Yarrowia lipolytica: one gene and its partner. The protein of the gene in region 1 binds, or shares a complex with, the protein of each later gene. Links are inferred from orthologs where the notes say so. Each region holds a gene or a part of one and is shown on either strand. Other genes may lie near its edges.

What was found. The genes of interacting proteins can lie anywhere in the genome.
Region 2: the proteins of YALI1_E14489g (region 1) and YALI1_E01904g are in contact, whole or in part, in a cryo-EM structure (PDB 7AD3), measured with the Saccharomyces cerevisiae proteins. The link is inferred for Yarrowia lipolytica from reciprocal best matches to the Saccharomyces cerevisiae genes GPA1 and STE4. Residues at the interface, in NP_011868.1 of Saccharomyces cerevisiae: Thr7, Gln8, Thr9, Ile10, Asn20, Lys21, Ala23, Asn24, Ile27, Glu28, Ser30, Leu31, Gln32, Glu34, Lys35, Asp38, Lys43, Thr301, Gly302, Ile303, Glu305, Leu318, Arg324, Ser325, Glu326, Lys329, Trp330, His332, Cys333, Phe334; in NP_014855.3 of Saccharomyces cerevisiae: Asn85, Gly90, His91, Asn92, Lys94, Ser104, Gln112, Asp113, Phe115, Leu117, Ala122, Ser123, Leu125, Lys126, Gln127, Asn128, Ala129, Gln135, Trp136, Leu138, Leu154, Asn155, Asn156, Arg168, Cys182, Tyr183, Asp224, Leu226, Ser248, Asp272.

Annotation. Positions count from the first base shown.
Region 1 is NC_090774.1:1,441,937-1,452,614, reverse strand, and holds YALI1_E14489g (uncharacterized protein), read left to right. Parts: upstream 1-3,729; coding exon 3,730-4,962; downstream 4,963-10,678. Other genes in the region: YALI1_E14535g (uncharacterized protein), read left to right, coding at 1-1,006; YALI1_E14505g (uncharacterized protein), read right to left, coding at 1,346-2,092; YALI1_E14497g (uncharacterized protein), read left to right, coding at 2,868-3,263; YALI1_E14469g (uncharacterized protein), read left to right, coding at 5,664-6,209; YALI1_E14451g (uncharacterized protein), read right to left, coding at 6,593-7,537; YALI1_E14427g (uncharacterized protein), read left to right, coding at 9,919-10,678. UniProt on the Saccharomyces cerevisiae protein: Alpha subunit of the heterotrimeric guanine nucleotide-binding protein (G protein) that mediates mating pheromone signal transduction.
Region 2 is NC_090774.1:185,070-195,768, forward strand, and holds YALI1_E01904g (uncharacterized protein), read right to left. Parts: upstream 5,337-10,699; coding exon 4,194-5,336; downstream 1-4,193. Other genes in the region: YALI1_E01865g (uncharacterized protein), read right to left, coding at 968-1,462; YALI1_E01877g (uncharacterized protein), read right to left, coding at 2,299-2,667, 2,735-2,818; YALI1_E01885g (uncharacterized protein), read right to left, coding at 2,879-3,487, 3,551-3,652; YALI1_E01935g (uncharacterized protein), read right to left, coding at 6,915-8,483; YALI1_E01947g (uncharacterized protein), read left to right, coding at 9,701-10,699. UniProt on the Saccharomyces cerevisiae protein: Implicated in the a- and alpha-factor response pathway. The beta and gamma chains of the putative yeast mating response pathway G protein play a positive role in initiation of the mating response.

The DNA of each region.
Region 1 (10,678 bases):
CCCCAAAGCCCGACCGCCCCGAAAACGACGAGAATCGGTCATCACCATTGCTGACGATACCCCAGGTGCCCAAACTGCGAATAACAGCACTGGCCATCATCACCATCAACATCAACATAACCACCATGATATCACGCCAATGAAACCGGACGAGGAACCCGACGACTGTGGACTGTGTGAGACTGGAGGAAATTGTCTCTGTGATACCCTGGGACTCAAGGCACCTCTTCCAGCTGAGGACCAAAACACGTACATTGTTGGCGGCGTCAATCTCAGTGAAATCAAGCCTGTTGCTGCTGTTCCCCTCAAGAAGCGCCCTGCCTCAAATGGGACGTCTATGATAATCCGAAAGCGGTTCAAGCGCGTGTCTGAAGCCAACGAAATCGATTTTACAAAGACTTTTGGCTCCAAACCCACGACTCCACCTGTTCCTGAGCCTGTACACGTCCATGGTCCCGATTGCAAACATTCAAAGACCCAAGTCGCCAAGATCTCGCGAACACCGTCCATCTCTAGTCTCAACAGTCCTGTGGACAGCAACTTTGTAGATAAACCCTCCCCTCAGGTGGATCCCTGTGGGTTCTGTTCCAACGGCACTCCTTGTCTCTGTGCTGGTCTTGACGAAGAGGAGGGAGCTGAAAAGCCCTGCTCTAGTGCCCTCAAGCCAGACAAGCCGGAAGTCATTGAGATTACAGACCACGCCGTCGACCAAGTGGCCAACGAGATGGCAGAGGTCTCGGTCACCGAAGAAGATCTGTCGTCCTGTCTGTGTGCTAAGGACCCCAAGGCTAACCTCTTTTGCACTGTGTTGAAAACTTCTGCCAGGCCCTGTGCTGAGTCCTCTTCTCCCGTCCTGGTGCCCTGTACAGACGCCTACAACATTCTCAGTGGCCATGCCCGATTTGCCAACTCTTCTCTCGGCACTCTTGTGAGCATGCTGCGCACCAGGAATGGAAAAGTTGACGTTGATTCGCTTTATGCTGCCCTCGGTACTCTTGATGAATGAAGATCGATATGATACACGACCAATACTACAACTACAACTACAACACAACACGACCTGACGATACATGCTATGAATAAACTACGATAATAACGAAACGAGCAAACGACAAATACCTACGACAAATAACCGACGAAATGACTGTATATAAAATAATGAATTATGAGTGTAAAGAATAGCAAGATTGTGTAGCTACTTCAGATGAATACAACTTCAGATGAATACAACGTCATACTCGTCAATGGCTTAATTATATCTATCAGATCTCTACAAGCAAGCCATTTCGAGTCAACGGCTCACATTTACCTTACTGGTTCTATCATACTCATCCATTCAATACATCTAGATCTTGGAGAGGTTGACGCCCTCAACGGCAGAGTCGGAAACAAACCAGAAAACGGGTCCGGTAGCGACCTTGTTGACAATGGCAGAGGGAAGAGTGGGCTCGGGCTCCTCGAAGATCTGCTTGAGGACAGGGGCCTTTCCGGCTCCCTCGGCGACGAAAGCGATGGCCTTGGCAGCCTTGAGAACGGGGAAAGTGATGGTGATTCGTCGAGGAGGAGGCTTGGGAGAGTCCTCAATGGTGGCGACAAACTTGGTCTCCTCCTTGAGCAGAGCGTGTCCAGGGAACAGCGAGCAAGTGTGGCCATCAGGACCGCATCCGAGCAGAATGAGATCGAAAACAGGCACTCCCTGGCCGTTGAGAGGCACATTCTTGACAATCTGCTCCTGGTAGTCCTTGGAGACGGCATCAGAGTCGTTCAGAAGAGACTCCTTGACGGTGAAGACCTGTGGTTGCTGATCCTTGGGGATGTGATCGAGCAGATCCTTCTTGAGGAGACCGTAGTTGGAGTCGGCATCGTCCAGCTTGACCAGCCGTTCGTCGGAGAAGAAAATCTTCCACTTGGGGAACTTGGTCTCCGAGTTGTTGACCAGACCCTTTCGGAGAGCAGACACCAGAGAGCCTCCAGATACGGCAACATGGAAAGCTCCAGTGGCAGCAATTGACTCGTTCTGGAGTCGAATGATCTCAGCGGCAGCAGCCTCAGCGACCAGTTGCGATTCGTTCTTAGAGATGACCTTGGGCATTGTTTTTTTGATGTTTCTTTGTGTGAAGGAGTGATCAAGAAGCAGATATTGTACGTCAGAAACGTTGTGCCTTCATATGTATGCGTGTAATCAAGGTTCGATCTGTTCTTTCGGAGCAATGAGCAATGGACGATTATGTAAGCGGAGGAATAATAAAACCCCCCCAGGCCCATTGCGTGTCCAAGTAGCTGTTTCCGTTTATCCCTCATGACATGCCAGGATGACACTCGGCGGCTCGGCTAGCTCACCCAACAGCAGCAAGCAGCATATACTATTTTAGAGTGGTCTTTATTAGAGGCTGTTTTGGGGCTGTTTTGGGGCTGTTTTGGGGCTGTTTTGGGGCTGTTTTGGGTGCCGTTTGTGAGGTGGGACTTGGCATTGGGGCATGTCAGAAGGCGATGACAAGTTACTGTAGCGTTTACTGAGTGGGTTATAGACGTGAGCGTGATTGGTATGGAGGTTGATACAAGTCCGTGAAACATATGACATCCTCACTACCACTACTCCACTGCGCCATGACGTCACATGCGACCCAAGAGACCTACTGGTGCAGCATTGTAGCTAGCGGAGGGTGTACCGGTATGGGCACAACTACAGGTAGCACAGTGGTGGTATAGGTTTTAGGCCTTCGTATAGCGGCAGCATAGATCCGTATAAAGCCGATTGATGGTGTGAGAGCCCGGTTAACGATAGAGGAACGTGGCGGGAGCAATTAAAACCTCCAAAGGTGTAGTTGCCTGAATGCACGAACGAGACGAGACCGGTTCTACCACAGATGTCCAAACACGACCGGGAGCAACATGCTCTGTATCTCAAGGACCAAATTCAGGGGCTGGAGGAGGTGATTCCGGACCAGCAGGAGGAGGTTGATAGCAATCAGGAGAACTACGACGAGGCCATGGAGAAGGTCGAGGCTGCCCAGCTTGAAGCCGACGAGTACAAGGGCCATCTTGACGATGCTGTGGCCCGCCTAGAGGGCAGCCAGGAGGAGCTGGATGAGTACAAACGAGAACTTCGAGATCTGGAGCATGAGGGCAAAAAGAAGGCCAAGCTCGATCACGACCAGGACAATGACGACTCAGACGACGAGGAAGAAGGCGACGAGGAAGAAGAAGAAGAGGGCGACGAGGATGAGGAGGACATTGAGGGAGCTTTTGTCATCAAGTTTTAGTTAGAAAAGTATTACAGTATATCATGGAATAGATGTGTTGAAGTATGACTCCAAGTTCTCAGGATAGAGTTCTCTATGTGGCAGAAGGTGCATGAGTGCAGGTGGGGGGGTGCATGTTCTTGCACTGACGGTTGAACCACGATGACAATACCCTACGGCCGCAACTACTATATGGTGGGTTTGGTAGCCACTGAATATGTAGCCGGACCGTATTGTGTCACTTAAAATCACATGTTTGATCCTCTTCTCGTCACCTGACCACCTCCAATCGAGGGAACCCCCGGCAAGTGCATCCACCAGCACTTCATTCAGCCCCACATCCCAAAGAGGATATCAATGAGGCAGAGTGAATGGAGTCTTCGGCTCAACATATAATTATGGCGCTGTAACCCCCCTCAACTTCCTCCAACACATCTCAAGCCATCCGCGACCACTTAATTATCTGAACGCCCCTACCACCCGAACAATGGGATGTGTACCTTCGAAACCCGAGTACGGGGCTGAACATGACCAGCATCTACTGATTGAAGAGAATATGCGATTTAGAGTCGGAAAACTAAGCAGCTCCAGATCGTTTGACGACTCCAAACCCCCCAAGCTACTGCTTCTGGGTACCGGCGAGTCTGGCAAGTCGACCATTCTCAAACAAATGAAGCTCATCCACGGCCAGGGCTTCACCCATCAGGAACGCAGTCTGTATGCTCAGGTTATGTGGGAGCAGGCTTTCGTCCAGATGATGGAAATTGTGCGCCAGGCACGGTTCTTGGGCATTTCTTTGGATTGCGACGATCCACACAGCGTTCTGAACAGTCATATGACCCTGCTCACCAATGCAGACCCCAACGACTCCGCTATGCCTGACTGGGATGCGCTTTATGAAGACATCAAAAGCCAAAGGAGGTTTATGGAGGGTGAGAATCTTCCCATGGTTTATACAGACTCGCCGCTCAAGTTTGCCGACAATGTCCTCAAGGTGTCGCCAGCCGAGCGGCCACAGATTGCACACGCCATTTCAGAGCTATGGACTAAAGATACAGGAATTAAGCAATGTTTTGCCCGCTCAAACGAGTATCAGCTGGAAGATGCGGCGTCATACTACTTTGACAATGTGCACAGTCTTGCCGACCCTTATTACCTGGCCTCAGACGAGGATGTCATCCGGGGAAGAATCAAAACCACAGGTGTTTCGGAAACCCCTTTTCTGGTGGGCGGCCAGATGCTCAGCATTATTGACGTAGGAGGTCAAAAAAGCGAGCGTAAGAAGTGGATGCACTGCTTCGATGACGTAACCAGTGTGCTGTTTGTGGTTGCACTGTCGGAGTACGACCAGGTTCTGTATGAGGACTCTGGCGTGAACCGAATGCAGGACTCCATCTGCCTGTTTGACTACATCTGCAACTTCAAAACGTTCATCGACAAGCCGATCATTCTGTTTCTCAACAAATGCGATCTGTTGGAGGCCAAGCTAAAGAAATCGCCTGTTCGCAAATACTTCCCTAGTTTCAATGGACCAAATGAAGTCACTGCGGTTAAGGCTTTCTTTAAGAATCTCTTTCTGGCCCAAAATAAGTGCGGACCGTCCAAAGAGATTTACGTCCACTTTACCTGTGCCACGGACACTGAGAACATGCGTTTTGTCATGGCCGCCGTGACAGACATGGTCTTGTCTGCCCAGCTAAGAGAGACGGGTATTATTTAGGGGGGAGAGGAGAAGGACGTTTTTAGATATTACTAATCATGTATGTATACGAACAACTTGACCGAAATGCATGAGATATTATCCCTTGCTACAGTGATGGTACAGTTGTGCAGTATGTCCGAGCCCGAGTATTTTCGGTATTGTACTTCAACTGTACTTGATTTTTTACTTTAATCTTCTTCTACAGTAACTAACACCAGTGCGTCGACGCAACTACAGTAGGATACAAGAGCTAAGTCGTAGATACCTGGGACCAAAAAAAACCGACAGACAAGTGATTAAATGATCATTAATTATGAAAATGTATCTATCTAGTGGGTCACGTGATTATACGCACTCTACACCGGCTCGTAGCCGCTATAACATGGCAAATCACTCATAGGCTTATTCAGCATTTGGGAGGCAGTACAACCCTGAAACACAGCTTCTTAAAGCACCACTATAGCTACAACGAGCCCCAATCAAGTTAAGTCATATCTATTCCTCTCAATAGCTCTCCAATTGAGCAGCTTTGGCGTCGAGAAATATGATCCCCGTCATTCTACAAACATCCACCCAATCACAGGACGCCATTCGTGTGGTTAGGGCAGATCCCAAACGGGAAAACTCAAAGTCGAACATCCCACAGCACATTAGCAAAGTGAAAGAAGCCCGAGACAGAACAGGAGTCTGACGAGACGAGATACACAAAAAATCACACAATGATCCGAACCATCGCCCGATCTACCCGAGTGGCCCGACCCGCCACCCGAGCCTACTCTACCGCTCCCCACCCCGTCGCTGTGCCTCCCGCCCCCACCAAGATCCAGCCTGCCGCCAACTACTCTGCCCAGGCCAAGACCGCTGCTGTTGAGAACGCCGCTGCCAACACTGCCAACAACGCTGCCAACACCGTGAACAACGCTGCCAACAACGCCGCCAACGCTGCCTCCAACGCTGCCTCCAACGTGTCGTCCGCTGCTCAGGGAGCCTCCACCGGTGCCCAGGCCACTGCTAAGGCTGCCCAGGCCGGAGCTACCATCGGCTCTTCTGCCCAGAAGCTCAAGCCCCGAAAGAAGTCCAGCGTGCGAGGAACTCTGCTCGGATTCCTGCTCGGCACCACCCTCACCGGCTTCGGCGCTTACTCCTACCTGGTGGACCAGTACCGACAAGCCAACAACGTGATCATTGCCGACGTCATCGCCCTCAACGGATCCATCCGAAACCTCGAGGAGCAGGTCAAGCAGTTGCAGCTCAAGAAGGATTAGCATGTAGGATAATAGATGGTTTGATTAGATTGAATGAGTGCAGAACTGAGTGTGTAGTATGAGGTTCTACATATGGTGTTGGAAAAGTCGATCTTTGTCCATGTCAGAATTACGTACATGTCAAAATACTCATACAATGATACCATATGGGTATCAAGTGCCATTGTAATCGTTATCTGCATTTCCGTAGTTGAGAGATCACAGGCAATCGATGTTCCAAGCTCCATGTATAATTGAAGAAAGTCTACAACGGCAATATCATTGTCTGCCCAACAATCTCACCCCCTCACAAATACCCACTACACCCAACCCCAACCACCAACCCCTTCCGCGTAACTGTTTCTCTCGACCAAGTCATATTTACCCTGTCTACATAGGACGTGTTATCTCCGGAAAAAATCCAATAAATCACGCTTGGCCTTTCTACCCACCCCTTTAGCGGAGTCACGGTCCTGACCCTTTCTGGTGCCTTTCTCAGTTCCATTCTGGGTGTCGTGCTTGGAACGCTTCTTGTTTCGATAGGAAATGGTATCCTTCATATAACGTGGCATGGAAGCAGTGCTCTTCATAGTGTAGCTTTTCTTGTTGCCGTAAGGACCCCAGCCACTGTCACCCAAATGGATGCTCCCCCCATACTCTAGCATGTGAACAGGCGAATATGATTCCAACGGGGTAGGCGAGCGGTACATCTTGCTCAGGAACAGGGAGTTTTCGAGATGCGAGCCCTGTTGCTCCATTCTGGCCGCACCATTTTCAAGTCGTCTGGGGACCTTGGATCCCGATCCCGGAGACGGGAAGAACGTGTTCTCCGAATGCTCTCCAGTTAGAGGCTCGTAGATTCGCAAGTCTTCCACAGGGTGAAACGTGACGCTTCTTATGGTGGAGTAGTCCTGTTCTTCGACTGCTTCTTTTTCCCGTCGAATCTGGCTACGGTACTGCTCCATGATCGACTTGGAGACACTTGTTTGGCGCAAATCAGACGGCTTGACCATACAGATGCTCGTAGGCCCGGGGTCGTTGTCCATACTGGTGAAGTTCGTTGATAGATCTACGGGGTCCACTCCGTCACCATAGGTCACGTACTGGGGGCTCGTCATCTTCTGCGCCGTGGTCATGACTGCACTTCCGTCCCATCGAGTCGAGGTAAGCGAGGGTTGGTTGATAGGAGCCGAGTTGAGCTGCGGTTTCGTTTTGTATACAGACTCGGCAGTCTTGCAGTTGAGCCTGTTGCTGGAGGGTTGTAGCACGCCCAGAGGTATCGTTTCAGGCTGCCCGTAATGGTTATGATCAATCGCGGATCGATACGATGTCATCGTAGCATTGTCCATGACAGCGGAGTCTACCAATGTATCAACTTGTATCACGGTGGTATCTCACTGATCGAATGAATGGGTCGGTGGTATCTAGCGATATTTGTGTAGCAAGCTGGTGAGTGTGTTGAAGGCGTGTTACAGAGACTTGTTTTAGCGAAGAGTACAAATTGGATTAGGTTTCGGTGCACGTTATCGGAGGTATGTGGGGTGGGGTTGAGATAATGCTGTACACTGAAGGTAGCTACGAGAGTGGAGAACCAAGGAACCAAGGATATAGAGAGCCTTTGATCAGTTCGATGGTATTTCCATTGGACCGGCGAAAGTAAATGTCTATCGAAAACACTGATAGTGTATAGATGAACTGTGTCTAACTTGAGTAAATAAGTAATTACTTGACAAGCCTACATCTCCTACTTGGTGCGTTTGTTAGAAGTGATTATTACATTATATAAAAAGTTTATGCAAAAAAAAAAATTGATTGTTATTCTTTATTATAAAAAATAGCTCATTGTTACTGTACAGTACATACTGTACTATTATTGCAGCTCCTACAAAGTTGCAAACACGGACTTGGGGACATTGACCCTACTTGTAGTACGATACTGTACACCACATCCTCGTACAAGTACTCGTAGAATCACAGTATCTTCGCAAAGATGGTTGAGTAGCCATATTGTGGGGGGATCGACGTTGTCAACTGTCTTTCATGTCGATCTTTGGAGTAATGAGACAGGGTAGAGTGGGGTGTAAGGAGGTTGAAAAGTGTTTTAGATCCGCACAGTGCACTCTAACTGAGATGATCTGCTTAGTTATGCTACATTCCGCCTTCATTATCTCATGGTCATGTAAGGTATCCCGGTGTGCACACTTGTTGTATGGGTATGTACTCGTACCTGGTTGTCATGTCATTCACATCTCTCATATTATCCTAGTTGAATAGCTTCCAGGACATCTGTCACCCAATCACGTCCGTAGCTGACAATCAGTACATACTGTTCAGTTCATAGCGTGTGATGTCTCGGAGAAAGAAACATTGATGCAGCAACAATAGCCGGTCTACCAGTACATGATATCTTACCTCCGTGGTATAAGCCTGAATATATACGAGTACATACGATACAAGTGAGATGCACCTCGTAATTGTACAGCACCTTGTCTTCTGAGACATTGGATGCGCCATTTCAAGTACCATATGGGTACATACTTGTACCTTGGTGGGTCTGGATACCAAACCACCAATAAGGAAAAAGGTGCAACTACTCGATGATATTCGTAGTTCACTACAAGTCTCTTTTCCCCTCAGATCTACAGATCAGCCTATCTACTCGACAATGTATATTCCACATCCAAAAGAGGGAGAATCACATGAAGTCAATACGTAGTTGTAGTTGGCTGCCAACCCCGCGGTTCCTGCTTTTAAACCTACACGGTGAGTTGTAAGACATTGGCCCAAAGTGGACGTCTGATAATGTGCCAACGGAGTTTTCTATTTCCGCTCTATTGGCATGTGAAGATACTTCTGTGGGGGTGATTAGGACCATCTACATACAAATTATCTCATATATTGAACCGGGTGTACTCCCAGTCTTATGCGGCGTCGGTAAAAATAGTCGTATATTGAACACAATGCCTTAGTAGGACCACACAGGCTACTAACAAGGAAGCCCAAAGACGCATCAATTCTTCCGGGGTTAACGGTGGCAGCGGCATTGCAAGGGTAACGTCGCTGGGCGCCTCTACGTTTAATCCTTGTGTCCCTTTATGACATTGTGGGGTGCAGTTCAGCTGCGTCCAAACGTACGCGCGGACTATTCAAGAGACCTTGGCCCTGTCGATTCGGTGAAGTTTAGTGTCCTTTTGGGTGACTTATACGAAGCAAATTTACTGGAATTGTTTTGTTTTCTTGCGCCTTGTCCGCGACGACAGTAAACATAAACATCATCAGTCCAGAAACATACCAAGCAATTGACGACCGACTTTATGACACCTTTCAAGGAGTCCTGTCAGATCTCAAGTTATCGTTCCTGTACCTGATGCCCTCTAGAAACCGATGCCCTCTCATCATCTAAATGATTAATTAATGCACATCACCTTTCCCTGCGACAGACGTCCTCTGTAAGGTGACGATCGTCGTGCCGATCCAGATGAGGTCCCCCCACCTTGAAACAGGCCTAGATCTGTAATAACTCTGAAACCAGAGGTCTTGTGACAATGGAGAGTTGAAATTTGGACTCGGAGCATGTCTTAACCCCACCATCCTGATTTCCTCCAACTCTGTACCTGTACTCCACCCGTCTCCACCTTTACACATTAATGAGACATGGGGGTGTCATAAGTGGACAGATCTATACATGGACCGATGAGCCCTATATAAATACTGCGCTGTACGGTGATAAATGACATTCACTATTGGCATCATGAACCTCACGCTCGGGCAAGTGGTTGCTTACCTCTATGCCTCCCTCTTCGGCGAGCCACCAGCGACACTTTCAAAAACTCGAGTTCAAGCCTCCCAGGAGCTGTACAACTTTACGGCCAAGTTTTCTCGGATTGCAAACATCGCCTACTGTGTCAATGCGCCAGTCACTCCTCTACGAACTGATTTTACATGTGGAGAGAGTTGTCGGTATTTCCCGAACATGACGTTGGACTCAGTCTTCGGAGGAGACTTCTATTCCACTTCAATCACCGGATACATAGCTTATGATCACCTCAACAAGGAGAAATATGTTGTTATTCGAGGAACATTCAGCATTCCAGATGCTGTTACCGACATCCAGTTTCAACAGTCTCCGTGGTTGGTCGAGCTTCCTAAGCACCTGATCCCTACCCAAGACGATATGAAACAGAGATGGGCAGTCCGACCAGACTTGGAAGTGGAGAACAAAGGTCTTGACAACCTCAAAGAGCGGGCTCTGGTGGTTGAAGACCCCCGTCTTATTCCCATCAAAACTAGTGAGTGCAAAGGCTGCATGATCCATGATGGGTTCGCCAAGGCCTTCAACGAAACTATGGTCAATGCTGCTCCTCAGTTTGAAAAGTTCCTCACCAACCACACTGACTACAAAATGTATGTTACTGGTCACTCGCTGGGCGCTGCTCAAGCTCTTCTTTTCGCAACTCACTTCAAATTACTTGGACATGATCCTACCATGA
Region 2 (10,699 bases), about 1.3 Mb from region 1:
AGCCCCAAGGATCACACAGTTCCGCAATCCAGTTTCACATGTTCCGTTGCATGGACTTTTGCATGTCTACTGTTGCTACGATTCCCCCATTGCAACCACAGTTTGGGGTTACCCCGCATTATATTAGCATGATTACGAAAGAGATAAGTATCATATGGAACATGTGAAGGGTAGTATGCAGGTCCGGCGGAGAAAGAGAATGACGTTTTCATTAAGCGATTCGCTTGGCGGCTTGTGGGGGATGTGACGATACTTACGGTAAAGACCCTGTGTGAGAGCTGGTACTCGCTCGTTACTTCGCTGATCTGTTGGGCCGTCAATCGAATCTCGTGGAACTTGCATTCTTCTTAACTGTGTCTATACAAGACACCTAATGAAACATACAAGCTACCGAAATCATTTTACTCGTACTGACCGGTACGGTACTTGCACAAGTAGTGAAACTTCCGAAAATAGCCAGCCTCATGCATCATCGCTTCACCCCTTCTGTTGACCTCAAAAGCATTCCAACGGTAAAAAATTATAACGCCGCCAACTGGATGGTTGTGACGGCGTTGACCACCAATGTGTGGGGGCTGGCGGTAGGACCGAGCTTATTCGTCCCAATAAGCTCTTTGGATTTGATTCTTTGGGGTGTGTGGTAAAATTCACATGGGGAAGAACACGGTGGCAGTTTGAGGCAGAGGCCCAGCGTGTAGTTCCTAGGGCATGAATATACCGAACTCATGGCGCAGAATTGAGCTGAATGCGCAAAAAGCTACAGGATCAACCGCGTTAGAAATGCCGCAAATGTCCACTAATTCCCCGGACTGTTCCAAATGATTCTGTGGGGATAAATCTCAAACTGGGTTAGGCTTTGTCACGTTTCTTTGTGTCGTGTCGGTTCGTCCGGGGCAATGTGCCCACGCTTGGCTGTCTCCCTACACCTCGGTAAAAACTATCACATGCTGCCCCTCTCGAGCAAGCATTAAATGCATATAGTCAATCTAACGACATATATATAGGTAGGGTGCATCCTCCGGTTTAGCTCCCCAGAATATCTCTTATTCATTACACAAAAACAACAATGTCTCTCAAGGTCGACGGCTTCACTTCTTCTATCATCTTCGACGTCATCCGTGACGGTCTTAACGACCCCTCTCAGGCCAAGCAGAAGGCTGAGTCCATCAAGAAGGCCAACGCCATCATTGTCTTCAACCTCAAGAACAAGGCTGGCAAGACCGAGTCTTGGTACCTTGACCTCAAGAACGACGGTGACGTCGGCAAGGGCAACAAGTCCCCCAAGGGTGATGCTGACATCCAGCTCACTCTCTCTGACGACCACTTCCAGCAGCTCGTTGAGGGTAAGGCTAACGCCCAGCGACTCTTCATGACCGGCAAGCTCAAGGTTAAGGGCAACGTCATGAAGGCTGCCGCCATTGAGGGTATCCTCAAGAACGCTCAGAACAACCTCTAAGCGCATCATTTATTGATTAATTGATGATTTACTATATTGATTTCGCAACTGTAGTGTGATTGTATGTGATCTGGCTCGTAGGCTTCAGTAAATACTAGACGGGTATCGTACGTAGTTGTATCATACATCGAGCCTGTGGTTACTTGTACAATAATTCGTAATGTAGAGATACCCCTTGATCCATTGCCTGTTTCTAACATACAATGATCTCCACGCAATAATCCCACTCTTGACTAAAAGTTGCTACTCTTGCACGGTTACCTCGGCATAGTCACGCCTCTCTTGTCTCGTCTCGAACGCACAAAGTCAATTGACAACGCCACTCACTCGAGTGTGCCCCAACAGGGCACCATATCGACTAATTTGAGGCCAACTAGGGTGATTTTGGATGGAATTTGATCGGAAAAAATAGCTGCAGAAATTCCTGGAGAGAAAAATTGACCGCATCCACATGGTTTGACCAAAAAATCGTCTCCATCTCTGTGCTCAACTCTCCTGACGAGATATGCGCGCGCACCCCCACATGATGTGATTGATCTCAACAAACTTCACCCAGACCCTTATCTTTCCGGAAAACTTACTGTATAAGTGGTCGTGCGAACAGAAAGTGTGCGCACTTTAGGTGTCTAGATCCGATTGTTCTCGTTCTGATAATGAGCCAGCCCCGCGAGGCAATGTTTTTTACAATTGAAAACTTCGTTAACCACTCACATTACCGTTTTTGCCCCATATTTACCCTCTGGTACACTCCCTCTTGCATACACACACACTGCAGTGAAAATGCACTCCGTTAGCACCGTTGTGATTGGTTCAGGGCACGAGTTTGGTGGTTTAAGGCGCAACTACATCAATATGAAAACAGGAGACGCTGAAAAGGGGTAATATCGGACTGCTGCTATGTTGTATGTACTGCATGACGAATTGGTGTTATTCAAGACCGTGGCACAGGTTGCTGCGGTACGAGACCTGGTAGCTTCTCTAAACGGCATGTCTAGGTGGACGAGTATGGAGAAGTTAGGTACAGTACGTACGTATACGAGTACGAGTACGAGTACGTAGTACGATACAGGGTACGTAGTACGATACAGGGTACGTAGTACGATACAGGGTACGTAGTACGATACAGGGTACGTAGTACGATACAGGGTACTTGTACGAAGACAACAGTAGAGTGCAAATATCAACCAACATGGCCAGAGCGACCAGTTCAGCTTTCAGGGGGGCCTCTAGCACTTGTCACCATATGTAGCCGTGATAATTATGCAGTGATGTGATAACTACTGTACAAGTAGAAGTAATCCGGTGGTGCTGGTACCTTGAATTGAGTCTCACTATCGGTTTCAGCAACACCAAGGACTTCATAGATAGTACAGGTTGAAGCCAGCTGCTGGTATTCCACCAGCGTCTAGGCCGTCGTCCCCGCTACGCCACCTTGTTGAGTAAATCACTCAGACCAGCATGCACCTTGACGTAGAACTCGTCGTCCTTGGTCATGCTCACGAGATTCTTGGGTTTAGTAAACGCCTCTCGTCTGAACGAATCGGCCCAGTCGCTCTTGTCCTTCATCTCCTGATGCTTCGTCACCTGTGTCTTGATCCATCCTCCCATGCTTTCGAATCGCTCGGTGATGGGAATCCAGTTGTCCATCAGACGCTTTTCTTCCCCCAGACAGAGAAAGCCGTACTTTCGAATCCCACCACGAGACTCGTTGTCGTTCACCTTGAACACGTAACCAATGGTGGCTCCAGATGAGTCGCCAAACATGAGAGGAGTATCCGAGAAGGTGGTTTCACTACTCAGCAGCTTGAGACAGGCCTTTCGAACCTTGGAGTAGTCATCCTCCCCGACGGCACATTGAGAAGACACGTATGTGTGCTCGCCAATATTAGATCGTAGAGTTGTGGCATCATTTGGCAGGATCAGCTGGCAATTTGCGCACGTCGAACACTCGTTTGGTGTGGTCTCCTTCGTTTTCTGACAACACAGTATCGAAGTCGGGCCATGCAAGTCGCAGAAATGTGCAAAACAGAGCTGGTTAGTGCTTGTTGTGTTCGTTGCAACCCTTAGGAAGCCTTATCCTCTCCCCATACTCACCAGTAGTGCCATGATTTGGTGCAAAAAGGTGTTGGTGGATGCGTTAATGAAAGTTGTTGTTCTGCACGTCTGCCCCAGATTAAGAACTTTATCATGACCCATCACAGCAAAAAAAATTGACAAAAAATTAGCGATGCCTGGTTTCGATCCAGGGACATCAGGGTTATGAGCCCTGCGCGCTTCCGCTGCGCCACATCGCTGGGTTTTTTTTAATTGAACTTTTTTTAGAATCTCCCAAGCTAAAATCAGTGTCACGTGACCCCTTAAAACTCAGATTTTTGAAGTGCCATTATGTCATTTAAAATGCAATTAAGGGTGGAAATGAGTAGACAGGAGTGCTAAACCGGCAATTCTTTATCTGGTAGGAGGGCCTTTTTTATGATAATTTGGGGGTTAGGTCAAATTCGATGCGTCGTTATGACATCTAAACCGGGTACAAGTAGCTACCTAAAGAGAGTGTGTTCCAGTGTTGGTCAACAATGGTATGGTACTTGTACTTGTACTTGTAGACAATTAAACCAAAATTATACCACCGACTATCAAGCGCAGCACACACATAGACATGCACCTTCTGTAGCCGCTTCATATTATTTCTCATATCGGGTTGATGTGATGTTATTACTGCATACACGTAGACCTCCACTTACAGAGACAGAACTGTCATAGTTTCGTCCCAAGAAGAAGATAGGACACCCACTCCGTCTGGGGAGACCTTTACTTTGGTAACAGGACCAAGATGCTTCGTGATTGGGCCGAGGTAGGTGCATTTGATGGTGTCCCAAGCTACCACTTCACCTGTGTCATGGCCACAGAACATGATCCGTCCTGAGGGTGTTACAGCCACCGAGTTGACAGGAGACATTATGTCTGGGGCACTATAAATGTTCATTTGGCAATCAGTTCTCATGTCAAACAGTCTTGCAGTTGAATCGTCACCTCCAGAGAGAACTGCATTTCCATCGGGAAAGAAGTCCACTGAAGTTACATCCTTATTGTGCCCCTGAAAGGTCTGGACACATCTGGCGATTCGGAGATCCCAGATCTTGACTGTTTTATCGTTGGAAGCCGTGGCGACAATCTGCATCTTAGAGGGGTGTTTGGTCACAGAAGAGACGTCTCCTAGATGGTCATACAGGGTCGAAACACGTCGGCCTGTATTGACATCCCAGATGCAGCATGTCATGTCTCCGGAGGCTGAGATGATCTGTTGGTCAGTCAGGAAACACAAGTCCGCCACATATGCAGAGTGTCCCTTGAGAATGGCCATGGGCTCGCTTTTGGTAAGTCCCTTCATTCTGGTCGACGACCCTGAACCGTAGGGAACAGAAGGGTCTGTCTCATCAGCCGACTGAGTCATGGAGTGGATTGAGACCCTGTTATCTAGACCACCCGATGCCAGGTAGCCACACGAGGGAGGTAATGCACAGGAGAGCACGTAGCAGCTTGGAAGAAGGAAGACTCTGGACTTTAGAGACGAGTAGGCGTCCCACATGAGAGCCAGACCGTCCATAGCTACACTGAGCACATATTGTGAGTTGGAGGCCCAGTCGCAGCTGTTTATCTTGCCTCTGTGTCCCTTGAGTTTGTGTCGCACCTTCAGGGGGGTTGAACTGATGGGCCGGAGGTCTGTGGCAAGACTTGGAAGGGTGGCATTCATAAATTGGCTTCTCTGATGAACAATGTTCTCTCTCATGGCGGCACATTTGCCTTTGAGTAACGACAGCCGCTCATGGAGATCTTCAACGGTGGGGGAGGGGGGAGTATCTGGCCGGAGAATATCTGTCATTTTCGCGCGTGGATGAGTTCAAGTTGGTTGCAATTTCTAGTGTGGGGGACTCCACCATGCAAATACCAATTCGTGTCTGCCACATTGATTCCCCGTTATAGCTGCGTGCATGCTTACTGCATGAGCTCTGCGGAGTAGATGCGGAGTAGATGCGGAGTAATATACAATATACATATAGCAAGGCGACACAAGGAAGGGCCACAAACGGAACACCCAAAAAATTTACATAAGTGGGTCTTCAAATAATAAAACGTTTGGCAAATATTATCATTACTGTGCTGATCAGGAGGATAAAAGTATAGTTTAGTTGGCATGAAAATATTGTGTGTGTGTTATCGTGTGTAATTATCTCGTTGAGCCCCACAGATGCTCCACCACTTGACTTGTTCCTATAGACCAGATATGGTCAATTGCCGAATATGAAGAAATTATGCAGGGTTCGAAGATGGGAGGTGCAATGGGACCACTTTTTATCAAACGGCCCCAACAGCAACGAAGGAGGAGACTCAGCTGTGTAATCTACCTTTATGATCTTCGCTCTGTAGACTCGCTAGTATAAGGTACCGGGTAGACGACGAGTATGTATACATGTATACATGTGCTTGTCACCACCAATCTAAAAGAGCTTGTTGAAGTGACGGTCAGGGGCGTATGAAGATGGTGAAAATGACGTTATTTTATTAGAATGCGGAGGTTTGTGCTTGCTGTAGAGAACCGACCTCGGCCTATTATCAAGTGCAGCTTCTCACACACACCTGTAGATCCCACTGGAGTCTCTTCATGGTTACAATTCTCCAAGGGGTGGAGGAAGCGATTAGGTGGAGTAGATTTACACAATTTCCTGCACAAATGGCACTCTGAGCTGCTACGATTCGGACCGTCAAGTGCCCATTACCCGATCAGACCTGCTATTGTGTTCTTTTCAACTTTTCCAGCAACACCACCGCCAACTTTATCCGTTGATGTAACACTGGCAATTTGCACATTGGAAAAAGGAAAACCATACTGCAGCCGGCAAGCTCAAAGTCACTACTTGTACCATTGGCGCTTCTCTCGGCCGTTGTAACAGCTTAATGGAGCCATCGAAGGGCCGTAGCAACTCACAGGCCAAGCCTATTCAAGATTGACACAGAGCAAGGTCTTGTTATGCGTTCTGTCGAGGTGAAACCAATATTTTTTGACAGCCAAAAATAGCGGGCAAATGCAACCAATTAATAGACCCTGGAAGTCTTCATGCTTGGCCTTGCACACCTTAATCTACACCAACAAGATTCTCTCATGTAATGAGACAAAAATATTTTATACGATCGTCAGTGAGTCAAGGCAAGTTATGGTATAGAGATGTAGAAGTAGTCCCACAGTGTGTACAGGGCCCGACATTCTTCACCCTCCAAGGTACAACATTGGCCTTGTACTATGTACTGTACTGTACTCAGGAGTAGCCCAAAGGAAACGAAAAACAACCCTATCGCTGTGTTCCTGCCGTATTCCATCTCCCCGCGCCTATCAAACTCGGTTGATCGTCGCTTCTTTGTTAGGTGAAAAATCAAGGGTCTATGTTTAAATAAAAATGATGGCTTATATAGAGTGCGTGGGCGAGACTGCTCCTCGAATCCGCTCCTGCTCTTCACCTTGGACACCACCACTGAGCACCACATGCGGCAAGATCTTGTCCAAATGACACCACGTGTTGAGAGGCATTCGGTACATGGCTAGCTTCTCCGTCAGCTCCCGCAGATACTGGTACGTCCAGTCGCGCTTCTGCCCATTGAGCACTCCGAGCACGTGGAATGAGTTGGACGAGTCTCCCAGCGTCACCTTGGAGTAACTCCTGTTGTTGGTGTCGACAAACATCTGACCAGTGATGACAGGGGTGCGGGTATCGAGCAGGGGCATCAGCGAAAAGTCGCGTCTGTACGACAGGTCTAGCCTGGTCTTACCAATCGGCACAAATTGAGAAGATGCATTCATGGCCCATTCAACCAGCTGGTTTCGATACAGCAAAAAGAAGCGGTTATCTACTATGAAGGGATGATGCTGATGTTGCGGATGCGTGGGGCCATGGGGGGATATCGTTGAACAGAGACGGAACGTCTTACTGTTGGCCCAGTCAACCCAGAAGAAGTCATTCCGCTTCAACACAGGGTCCTCAAGCGAGTTGGAAATGCAAATAAAGGTGTCGTGGCCGTACACAAATACACGGGCGGACTCGGAACACGGCATGTGTATGCGAATAGATTGTGTTTTGATGTTATTCCGGCGACCTGGAGCAATGCACTTTTGTCGCAACAGCTCGTATTCCTCACACAAGCCAATGGAGCCGGTACTGGAGTCAGAAGTAGAGCCAGCACTACTGCTGCCCGAGTGACCCAACCGATGCCATTCCATTTCGGGAGACATGCCTGGAGCCAGTTTAGTGGAGCGTAAGCGAAGCAGAGCCGTGAGATATCCGTCGTACATGGCCTTGGACACGTGGAAGCGGCGAATTACACGGTCATCCTCCAGTATATTTCTAACTACTCTCCAAAACCACGTTTTGCGGGCGTAATTGAGTTCTTGAACACCGTCTACCGGAGGGGTGTACACATTTGATGCATAGTCGCCATAGGTTTGTGGATAGATGGGGAAGTTGTGGGTGAAGACAATCTGGCGGCGAAAGCACAGTTTTGTTTCGTATTCGTCGGATATTGCTCGGGATATCGACAGCGTTCCGTCAGGGAAGATGTCTGCATATAGGCTTGCTTCGGGTGCGAGGTTGTGGTTGATGGTTTGGACCGGCTCAGGCTCCTCGGCGTACTCTACTAACGGCAGGGAGGCCAGTCCGTCTGTGGGAGAGGTCAGATCCAGGGCGTCATGGTAGGAGGTGTGGTGGTAGTCGGCTTGGTGATGGTGTCGTGCATGTCCATGCATGGTGTCTCTACGACGCAGTTCGGCCATGGCGAGGGAGAGCCATCCCGCTGCGCTGGACCCGTCGGCTGGTTGCATCCATGGTGCACAGAGAGCCCTGGCGGCGGTGAGAGCGTGGGAGCTGTTGTCGACTGCTTCTCTTAGACAGCAGCACGAGTTTCGCAGGTTGTGGAGATCTTCAACAGAGGTAAAGGCGAGAATCACGGCTATGGTTTCTGGAGGCAGGCTGAGCAGGGACATGCCCAGGAATCGGTGCGTGCGAGAGGTTGGCGGGTGTGCAGCTTCGACAAGATGCTGGAAGAGGTGGTTGGTGGTAGTGGAGCTAGTATGGCGTTTTGTTGGCCGCACAGTATAGTCTAGCTACTGGTAGACAGTTTTAGATATGCAAAAACTTTGAACTGTTTAACGGTGCATTACCAGTAGCTACTTGTATGGTCTCTACAAGTAGATTTGAGACGAGTGGGAAATGGGTTCGGCGGTCCCCGACAGTTGCTGTGAAGCTTATGTTCTCCGTGGACGGTGACCGGGGTCGTTTGACTGTGTTCGCCTGCACATAAATGTCTCGCTTGTCTGCGACTCCACATCTCATCAGGCTAATGCCTAGACTCGAAGCTAGCCATTGTTGAGCGGCACCCAGGGTTGCAATCATCATGCGGCGCCACCCCGTATTATATATAGTCTTTACCGTTATGATAGGGTGGCGACGGTACCAGTGGTGTAGAAGAGGTACAGTAGCTACAGTGATATGTCGATGGGCTGATGAAGTGGCCCAACAGGTGCATACTGTACTCGCACCAGTGTTTCGTACCTACTGATATCTGCAAGTGCAGATGGTGTCTCGAACATTGAGCAGCACCCCCCTCAGAAGCTACTGTAACCGCGGTGTCTCAGTATCAATAAGTAACATCAAGCTATCGATCACGTGATGCAGGGGTTGCAAAGTATGCTGATAGGATGTAGTGTACCAATGTATACAGTAACTGCGACCAACAGCCGTTAGAACCACACGGCACCATTTACTCTGCGGGATTACACAGATAAGTCAGCTGATCATGTCCATAAGGGCAACCATAGCCAACAGTAGCTAAGAAATAAACAAGTCAATTACAACTAGCTACAGGCAGTAATACTCTTATGCCATGCGATATTGCGATTGTCTAAAATTTCAGTATCTCCTGCTTTTTATTTTCGCCTCTCGCTCACGTCGTACAGGTCGTATTTCCGACCCCGTAAGGTATCCCAAACTCTGGGTCGTCGCTTATCTCGTTCTAGGTGGTGGCAGAGTTTACAGCCTGTGCATGAGAGAGGCACACTATGCGCACAGGGAGATGTAATTAAAACTCATCTGATCAAAACAAGGGTTTATCTCGAGACCGTCTCAGGAGCCCCCGGTATTCCACTCGCTCAAATCGTCGATCGTTACACATCCATCCATTCGCTTCACCATTCGTTAGGCCATGCAAATCACCCTAACACAACAGGGACTGACACTACAGTCTCAAAACGGCACGAGATCACTGCTTGATTTCGCTACCAAATCTCTCACCACACTCCAGGACGATACGGACTCACAAAATGACACAGATGGAGCCTCGGTCGATACAGAAAGCCCGTCTCTAGAGTGCCTGGGCATTTTTGGCATCTTTCCTATTGATGTGCACTCGCTGGCAGTCATCACCAAACGAGAACAGGTTGCTACTCTGCAAAATGCTCCCCTCTACAAGATCACCGGGGCTCTCCTGATTCCTCTGTCCTACCAGCGAGCCAGAGCCGTTTTTGAAGCCTCTCAAAATAACACCACTGCCGAACCGCGACGGTCCACAGACTCCAACGAGTCGAGAGGTTCTTCGGTCGCTGATTCTGAGCCCTCAGAAACCGAAACAGGCACACCTTCTCCTGTGTCTCCCTCGACTCTCAAGTTTATCAGAGAGTGCCAAAAATTCCTGTCTTCAGGGGCTCTCTTTTACTCTCCTAAGCTCAACCTACATCAATCTCTCAAACAGGGTCTTTTGAATAAGGAGTCGAAATGTTCTTCATACTACCTGAATTACAATAGAAACAGATTGTTCAAAGACACCGAGTTTGAGCTCAAGATAATCCAAGGTCATGTGGGACAAGTCAAGCCCGAATCCAGCAACATCTCCGTGGTACTCATTTCTCGGAGATCACGACACCGCATTGGAGCTCGGTATCTCCGAAGAGGTATTGACGATGATGCCAACTGTGCCAACTGGGTCGAAACCGAGCAGCTTCTGGTTACACCCAAGTACATTCTTTCGTACGTGATTGTCCGAGGTTCTTTGCCTGTCTTCTTCCAGCAGAGTCCGTATAAGCTAAAACCCACTCCCCGTGTTCTCAGAGGAGCCGAAGCTACTCGCAAAGTCTTCAACACTCATTTCGACCGTATTGAGAGCCACTATGGCTCTGTTACAGGCGTCAATCTGGTTGAAGCGTCT